Regions from separate parts of the Mus musculus genome. Here region 1 is reported to be linked to region 2. The links are microRNA targets in miRTarBase. Many come from high-throughput screens and were not tested one by one. Region 2 holds a microRNA gene; the other region holds the end of a gene's coding sequence.
What was found. The annotated mature microRNA mmu-miR-324-3p reads CCACUGCCCCAGGUGCUGCU and lies in region 2 at 3,078-3,097, opposite strand. An mRNA with a match to its seed (bases 2 to 7 or 8) in the 3' UTR can be bound and repressed. Matches are read on the target gene's strand: a 7mer-m8 pairs with bases 2 to 8, a 7mer-A1 pairs with bases 2 to 7 and ends in A, and an 8mer does both.

Region 1 (4,000 bases), not on the chromosome of region 2:
CGTTGGTATTCCTTCCGAATCTAGAATAAATACTAATGGAAATTGTAGGTTAGTTTCTTACTTGAATAAATGAGGCAGTCATCGTTTCACAGTTATGGGTACAGAAGTATTTTGTCAGCTTGGGATAAAGTCAAATATTCAAAAACGTATGATGTCATGTGTAAGAACATGCTAGGTGTGCTACACACATGTAATTGTAAACTGTACTGACCACACTTCTCTGATTTTGCCTTTAGAAAACCCGTTATGAGATTTATGTCAGCGTTCTGAAAGAAGGAGGCAAAGAGCTCCTGACTACCGATGGAAATGAGCCCGTGGGACTGAAGAAGTCACACTCAAGTCCCTCCCTCAACCCAGATGCATCTCCAGTCACTGCCAAGGTCAAGCGCAACGTGTCAGAGAGAAAAGACCACCGACCTGAAACACCGGGCATTAAGCAAAAAGTTACTTAGAATCCATCCGCGGCCAGGAGGTGCTGGTCATGGAACAAAATAGGGTTTTTCAAGATCTTTCTGGTAATCCGTGAATATATTTAAAAAACAGTCTGTGACTAAACGGTGCATTAGTAACCTTTTCTATTATATATTTTTGTTAGTTTCTGTACAGGTGTCTTTGCTCTTGAGTTCCTTTGCTTTGATGATTTGGACAACTTTATAACTAATGCACCTTTTGTGAGGAGGAGGAGGAGGGCTACAGATCCTTTCTCTTCGGCTTTCTCTTATTTGCACTTCTATACAGTTATTTTGTGTATTACCAATCAGTTGTTGTATTTTTTTTTAGGTTTAAATTTTTAATCCATTGTGAAACCCATAACTGGACAAGCATTGTGCTTTTAGTAAATCCTAGACTTTACATGTGAAATCCTGCCCAGTCACGGAGGTGAAGTTGAAAGTTCATAGTTGCTCACATGAAAATGGCAGCGCTGGGAGTCGAGGTGTCCCAAGATAGGACACTTCTGCGTTCTTCCTGGCACCTGTTGTTGGTGCTGGACACAGGACAAAAGGGAGCACGAGGATGACAGGACTGGAGACCTTAGGGAGGCACAGGAGTTTGTCTCAGGTGTGCATTCCATTCCAGCCATGCAAGGGAATTCAGAAGTGGAGTCATCTTGCTTGAAGGGAGCCTGAGGATGGCTTGATCCCGAGCCACTTTTGTTTTCTAAAGGCTGGTGGCAGTAATCAGCTCTTTGGAACTGTAGCAGTAGGATGTATGGTCTTCTATAGAAATGTTACCTCACTCCCATGGAATCTAGACTAGGAATCAAAATCATCTCTGTGATTGATACCTTTCCATCCAGGAATAGATTCATTTAACATAGATGTACAGGCATAGATCATGTCCTGGTTGAAACAAAACAATGTTGGAAATGAATACCACCTTCCCCCACACATACTCTTCTCTTTCTTTTCTATATCAAGACAAATAAGGAGCAACACAGATGCAGTTCTTCATCAAGATCAGGCCATCAGACGGGCTATGAAATCAGTCTGATCACAGTGACCGAGGATGGAGGGGTCTGATGTATGAGCAGCGTCTTAGCTTATTCTCATCTCCACCTCTACAGCGGTCTTGCTATGCCACTATTAAGATTGCTCCTGGAATTACTTGTATACATTTAATCTTATTTTTTTCCTGCATTCAAAATGGTTTCACTTTACAGTCAAAGCAGTCCCTTTACAATTTAAAGTATTAAGTAGAGTATTGTCTGTAGAGGAAGAAAAAGGCGTAAAAGGTGAACTTCCTCTGTGGCTGAAAACTGTCCAGTTTCCAGCCTTGAAACTGTATTCTCTAAAACTACTATCTTCCCATCAAAATATCTTCAAAAACTAACAGGATGACATTTAGATATTCTTTATTCTCCTTAAATATTTCCTCTATTTCGACTTGGTTAGTTGAAGGTACTATGACCAGAGAATCAGCTGCTCTTGCATGAATAGCATGATTCTAGTAAGTTAGAGTAAGCCTGTTAAAAAATCCCGGTAGTTTATAGAGACATCTCGTTAGGATGTACTAGCATTTAGTCACAGGACTGTGTGTTAGCCTGTACTTCTTTCACCTCTGTACATGCCCACCTTGCTTGTGCCCCGGAATAGTAACACTTCTCTCCAATACGGTAGCTGCTTGCTTCATGGTATTTTGCCACACTATTGGAAAAACTTCCCTAAACTTCTATCTTGTTTAAGTAAAGGCAGTGATTTAATTTATATCTCAGAACCATGAAGCGAATATGATAGTTAACATTGTGGCTCCATATACCTGAACTATTTCATAGCATCCTAGTGAATCCAATATTCCCCAAGCAAGTTGCCTTTCTTCTAGAAGGTGAACTATCACTGTCTGCTTTTTGCCTAAGTATTTGTAATCCCTGAAGGGAAAGGTACCAAGACCTTGGAGTCTTGAGCATCATCTTAGAGCATCAGTAGCTGAACAGTTAACATGTCTAAATGTGTTTGTCCACAGTGTGTGCTATATGTATAGAATGTTTGTGTGTACTTATGTAGAGTATCTAATATACATTGAATGGTACCTTGCTGCAGAGTTTCTGACATGGAGAATTGTCTAGGACTACCCTTAGCATTAGCTCTGCCACTGTTCCTGTTACAGGACTCACTAGTGTTGGCTCTAGAGCTTCTGGACATGCTTATAGATAATCAGATCACAAAGGCACTTTTAAAGCTGTGGACTACTCTGTCTACATCATTTATCTTGAAAAATAACTGAAGCAGTCTTTTGTGAGTCAGAATCCCAGCCTGCCCTAGTGTAATGCTGTCTACCTTTGGGGATAGGCTAAAAATGTGTCTTCCCTGAGGCCTCTGGAAGGATGCTGCATTCTCAGATCTGATGGGACTCTAAGAGTCTGGCCCATAGTCAGCCCCATTTCTCCCACAGTATTGATTCCTAAGAAATGGAAGGTGGTCCATTGAACAGCTCTGCTAAGCCTGTTGCCCAGTACACGGTACCGGGAGCTCTTGTCCCTTTCCTTTCCATGGTACTTCATCCTGTCCCTCCTATACCTACTGTCATCCCTACCTCGGTGCCCTGGAGTCTTGGAATTCCTCTCCATATGATAAAGCATTATTTATCTTACATTAATACCTTAAAGGATGGTTCTTAGTATTGAAAATATGAACAAGACATCAAAAGACTTTGATGATAGTCTTGTTGAAAAACTGACCATTGAAGTACCCCTTGTATAAAATCTGTGTGTATCTTGGGCTTCACCCCTACCCCCACATGCTAGCTTCTAAAAAGATTTACCAGGAACCCAGTTTTAAAAATTCTACTTAGAGTCCTTGTTTTATTGGTATATCGTTAGCATTTCTGAAAATGTTTTTCTAAAAGTCTATATAATTTATCTAACTCTTAGTAATGCCTAATTAAGTCAACTGTTACTTATTTATGTTTCCATTATTCCAAAGGAAACCAGCATGTAGAAGACTCCTCTGGTTGAAATAGCTTATAGGTTATATGTAACTTTTTAAAATTGTGCTTAGATAGAGCCATTTTCTCATGCAACGATCTTGTATAGTGTGTAAGGTGCTCTGTGCCCCTCTGTTTTTTCCCCTCATCCTGAAGGTAAGGACTATTTCCAAGGCAAATGTAGTGTAAGGGAATTGGTTCTGAAAGAGGAAAACTTACTGGTTTTCAAGGCCCAGCTAGGGTTGTGTTCTAATCTCCTTGGGAAGTTGAGAGCAGGAAGGTACAAAGGTTCTTCTTCGCCTTCTGCCCCTTTATCATGTAAAGAACAAGGATGAAGGACCATGCTCTGAAATAAGAAAAGACCGTCCTGAAATACTCATCATCTGTCTTTTTTATTAGAAGTCAATTTTCCATTGTCTTTCCAAATAAGAGAGACCTTAGAGGAAGTTAGCTGAACATGGAAATTTAATTCTTTGGCTTTTTTTTTCTATTAATCATCAGTTCAACCTTGCTTGGCATTAAGTTTGTTAGTTCTGAACACCTAAGTATTTGTGGCTTAGCTATTATGGATACAAGATAT
Region 2 (4,560 bases):
CGATCTACTACTGTGCTTCAGGGACAACCCCGGCCTATCTCTGCCCAGCGACTTTATGCCAGGGAGGCCACTCAGGTAAGTGACAGTGGATGAGGGAGACGGACGTAGAAATGCGAGTTGCCAGTTCCCACTAGCCTGCGACCGACAGGGGTCTCTCTCTTCGACCCAGTCACCTGGTGGCAGTTCTGTCACTGAAAGTAGGGGAAAGGGCACGCCAGGGTGCCCTAGTGAGAAAGTAATGGAACATGCACCAAACGCACTTCCTAGAGCTAGCGCTTCCTGCACACCTTTTAAGACCCATCTCCAGCCTAACTGCTCTGCCCTTCCCTCCAGGCAGTTCTGGACAAGCCAGAAACCCTCTCCTCTGATGCTTCCACCAGAGAAAAACCAGCCAGGGCAGTAAGTGACTGGAAACTGGACTGACACTTAAAAACCAGGAGTAGAATCACCCCAGGCACCCACCTAAGATCCTTTCCTTCCTTGCCTAGGAATCGAAGTCCTTTGCTGTGGGGATGTTCAAAGGCCAGCTTACCATTGATCAGGTGTTCCCATACCCATCTGGTAAGTAAAGGCTTAGTCAGTCACTGACAGTGTGGGCAGGGGAGCCCTCTCTGCCTGACTAGCCTGCTCTTCTCTCCCATTATACAGTGCTCAGTGAAGAACAGGCACAATTTCTCAAAGAGCTGGTGGGACCAGTGGCCCGGTTCTTTGAGGTAAGGGATGACCAGAGCTCAGCCCCTCCTGGGCTAAGTAAGATGCTAAGGAGCTTAAAGGAGCCTCTGAATATGAGATTCTTCCTATTCCTTGCTCAGGAAGTGAATGACCCTGCCAAGAACGACGCCTTGGAGAAGGTGGAGGACGACACTTTGCAGGGACTCAAGGAACTGGGGGCATTTGGCCTGCAAGTACCCAGCGAGCTGGGTGGTTTGGGCCTCTCTAATACCCAGGTGAGAGGATCCCCCTGGTTAACATTCCACAGTGCTCCAGTTTTGGTAGACTCACCACTAGGGCCAAGCAAGTAGCCAGAGTAGTGTCTACCTGCCTGCCCTTTTTCTCACACATTTTCCCCTGAAACATGATCTGTGTGCAGCCCACTAGGACCGTGGACCTAACTGTGGTTCCCAGGTCTTTGGGGACTGTGTGAGGCAACACAGCAGGCAACCTTCCCATCAAGACCAAGGGCAGCTGGGCACAGTGGCACTCATCTTTAATCCCAGCATGGAGGATGGAGGCAGAGGCGGGCGGATCTCGAGTTCAAGGCCAGCATGGTCTACAGAGGGAGTTTCAGGACAGTCAGGGAAACCCACAAAGTTTCAGGCTAGCTGGAGCTACAAAATGAAACTGCCTCAAAAGGGGGGGGGGGGATTATCTAAGCCCTTTGATGTTCCTGCTCCTGTCTCCTTAGGAAAGACTCCAGGGTTTCATGCTAGAGAAGCAGCCTACCTGGGAGCCCCATGGCCAGCCTCCCTGTGCCCTGTCCAAACCCACTCCACTCCCCATGCTCAGAGTAGAGATGCTCCAAGCCCCAGGCCAGGTCTGCCCTGCTGCCCATTCTTGTTGAGGACAAGTTCAGTGCAGCCAGCTACAATCCCAGATGCCTCCTTTCCCTCCAGTATGCTCGCTTGGCAGAGATTGTGGGCATGCATGACCTTGGTGTTAGCGTTACCCTGGGAGCTCATCAGAGCATCGGTTTCAAAGGCATCTTGCTCTATGGCACAAAGGCCCAGAGAGAAAAATACCTTCCCAGAGTGGCATCTGGTAAGGCAACCTTAAGAGACCCAGGGGTAAGGAGTGTGACACTGCTCACGGTGTTACAAGGAACTGCCTGGGGATGAGGGGGTGCAACTCTGGTGGTCAGGATCCCCAGTGAGCCCGTTCTCTCCCCCACAGGGCAGGCTTTGGCTGCTTTCTGCCTAACAGAGCCCTCGAGTGGATCCGATGTAGCCTCCATCCGAAGCTCAGCCATACCCAGCCCCTGTGGAAAATATTACACTCTCAATGGGAGCAAGATCTGGATCAGGCAATCTTCCGTTTCTCTTCTACCCTTCAGCCCAGTGGCCTGACCCTGCTGCTCTAAACCCTATACTAACCACCTCACTCTTCCACAGTAATGGGGGCCTGGCTGACATTTTCACTGTCTTTGCCAAGACGCCAATTAAAGATGCAGCCACGGGGGCCGTGAAAGAGAAGATCACAGCTTTTGTAGTGGAAAGGAGCTTCGGAGGGGTTACCCAGTGAGTATGGGGCAAAACAGAATCAAGGATGGGGACAGCACTGGGCTCTCAAGAGCAAATAGTCAATACAGGCCACGCTGGGGCTATCTCTGTACAAGAGGCACCCACAGGAGGTGAGCAGTTTTGTTTCCACTGGGGGAACACAGGCTAACAGGCCATAGCTAGATATCCGTAGCCCCTGGGGCACATAGGCAGTGCCCTGTATCCTTTTTATAGTCTGGGGAGTTCTCCCCTGATCATGAGACCCGAAAAGGCCGTTTTCCCCCACAGCAACCTGTTCATACCTCAACTTTCCTGCCCTGCCTTTTCAGTGGGCTCCCTGAAAAGAAGATGGGCATCAAAGCATCTAACACGTCAGAGGTGTACTTTGATGGAGTGAAGGTGCCATCAGAGAATGTGCTAGGAGAGGTGGGAGATGGCTTCAAGGTTGCTGTCAACATCCTCAACAACGGAAGATTCGGGATGGCTGCAACCCTCGCAGGCACCATGAAATCCCTCATTGCCAAGGCGGTGAGTCCCAGCCCAGTCCCTAGCTAGCACATGTCCCTGACTGCCTCAGAGCGCCGACACACACACATGCACACTCGACCATCGGCACAGTTAGGCCTCCAGCCCGTCCAGGTGGAAACTGAAGAACCACAGTGGGGTAACATGCGCCCTCTTGCAGGTTGATCATGCTACTAATCGTACCCAGTTTGGGGACAAAATTCACAACTTTGGGGTGATCCAGGAAAAGCTGGCTCGGATGGCTATTCTGCAGTATGTGACTGAGGTAAGGGCCTCCTGGGCCCCTTCCCTGGAGCCCTATGGCTTTCTTCACAGTTGGGTCAGACTACAACCCCCAGCAGCACCTGGGGCAGTGGGTCTCCAGCTTTACACCAATGCCCTAGGGGATGCGAGGAGGCATAGTCAGTTCTCTTCTGGAGGGTGGTGCTGCTCTGCTAAATGCTGCCCAGATGCACCAAACACGACTTTTAACCCACCCCTTTACAAAGTCGGAAGCCTCGAAGCCCCTGATATACCAGAGGGTCACATATTGGACATATTTGACCTGACCAGGAGGCTAAAGTGAATTCAAGGGTTGGAGGAGTAGATCAGCACTGGTCTTGAAGGTCTGAGCATTAGCCATTCTGTCTGATGCAGCCCTTCCCTGTTGTCTTCCCCATGTCCCGACCATGCTCCCTTAGTCCATGGCTTACATGCTGAGTGCCAACATGGACCAGGGATTCAAAGACTTCCAGATAGAAGCCGCCATCAGCAAAATCTTTTGCTCGGTGAGGACCCAGGTGTGATGGGAGGGCGGAGTCCAGATTAGGACCTCAGCTCAAAAATCCAACTCATCTGGTTCTCTGTCCTCAGGAGGCGGCCTGGAAAGTGGCAGATGAGTGCATCCAAATAATGGGGGGCATGGGCTTCATGAAGGTACAGAGTATTCCTCGGCAGGGGGGGGCATCTGTTCAGAGTGGACAGGCACATCTCAACAGAGGTTTCTGTGTCTTCCTGCGTGCCAGGAACCAGGGGTGGAGCGTGTGCTCCGAGATATTCGAATCTTCCGGATCTTTGAAGGGGCAAATGACATTCTTCGACTGTTTGTGGCTCTGCAAGGCTGTATGGTAAGAGGAAGGAGGATGAGAGAGAGCAGCTGGGGAGGACACTGAGTCCTCACTGTCGCCGTCCCCCTTCTCTCCACAGGACAAAGGAAAGGAACTCACTGGGCTGGGCAATGCCCTGAAGAATCCTTTTGGAAACGTTGGCCTCCTGATGGGAGAAGCAGGCAAACAGCTGAGACGGTACCTCATGGGCCGGGGCCAGGGTCAGAGTCAGGGTCAAACAAGATGGGAGGCCGCAACTGACCAGTCACTCTTCCATCTCCTCTCAGGAGGACAGGAATCGGCAGTGGTTTGAGTCTGTCAGGGATTGTCCACCCAGAGTTAAGTCGCAGTGGTGAACTGGTGAGTGAGCCTTAAAGCAGAGCCTGCGGTGGCTGTGCGCTGCCTTCCTCTCCTGAGCTCTGTCTGTGACTCTTGTCTCTTCAGGCAGTGCAGGCTCTGGATCAATTTGCCACCGTGGTGGAGGCCAAGCTGGTGAAACACAAGAAAGGGATTGTCAGTGAGTGAGCTCTGCAACCCCCTTCCCTCCCTGATTCCCTCCCTCCGACTAACAGCCCCACCCTCATCTACCTGACAGACGAGCAGTTCCTGCTGCAGCGACTGGCGGACGGCGCCATTGACCTCTATGCCATGGTGGTGGTTCTGTCCAGGTAAGGCGGCAGCGAGGGACGCTTGGCAGGCTAGAGCCACAGAGGAGCTGGGCCAACACCAGCACT

Region 1: the mRNA of Psd3 is a reported target of mmu-miR-324-3p. Seed matches in the 3' UTR shown: 8mer at 2,188-2,195.

Annotation. Positions count from the first base shown.
Region 1 is chr8:67,693,424-67,697,423 of GRCm38, reverse strand. It overlaps Psd3 (pleckstrin and Sec7 domain containing 3), which reads left to right. Exons shown (of 16, transcript NM_177698.4): 16 at 237-4,000. The coding sequence ends at 452. Among named protein-coding and RNA genes, the nearest start is that of Gm32888, 170 kb to the left of the region's middle.
Region 2 is chr11:70,010,632-70,015,191 of GRCm38, reverse strand. Mir324 (microRNA 324) reads right to left here and starts at 3,149; the gene lies at 3,061-3,149. Acadvl (acyl-Coenzyme A dehydrogenase, very long chain) reads left to right here. Exons shown (of 20, transcript NM_017366.3): 2 at 1-75; 3 at 334-399; 4 at 489-561; 5 at 649-713; 6 at 813-947; 7 at 1,614-1,758; 8 at 1,891-2,020; 9 at 2,109-2,234; 10 at 2,546-2,744; 11 at 2,902-3,006; 12 at 3,422-3,508; 13 at 3,594-3,656; 14 at 3,746-3,847; 15 at 3,927-4,024; 3 more.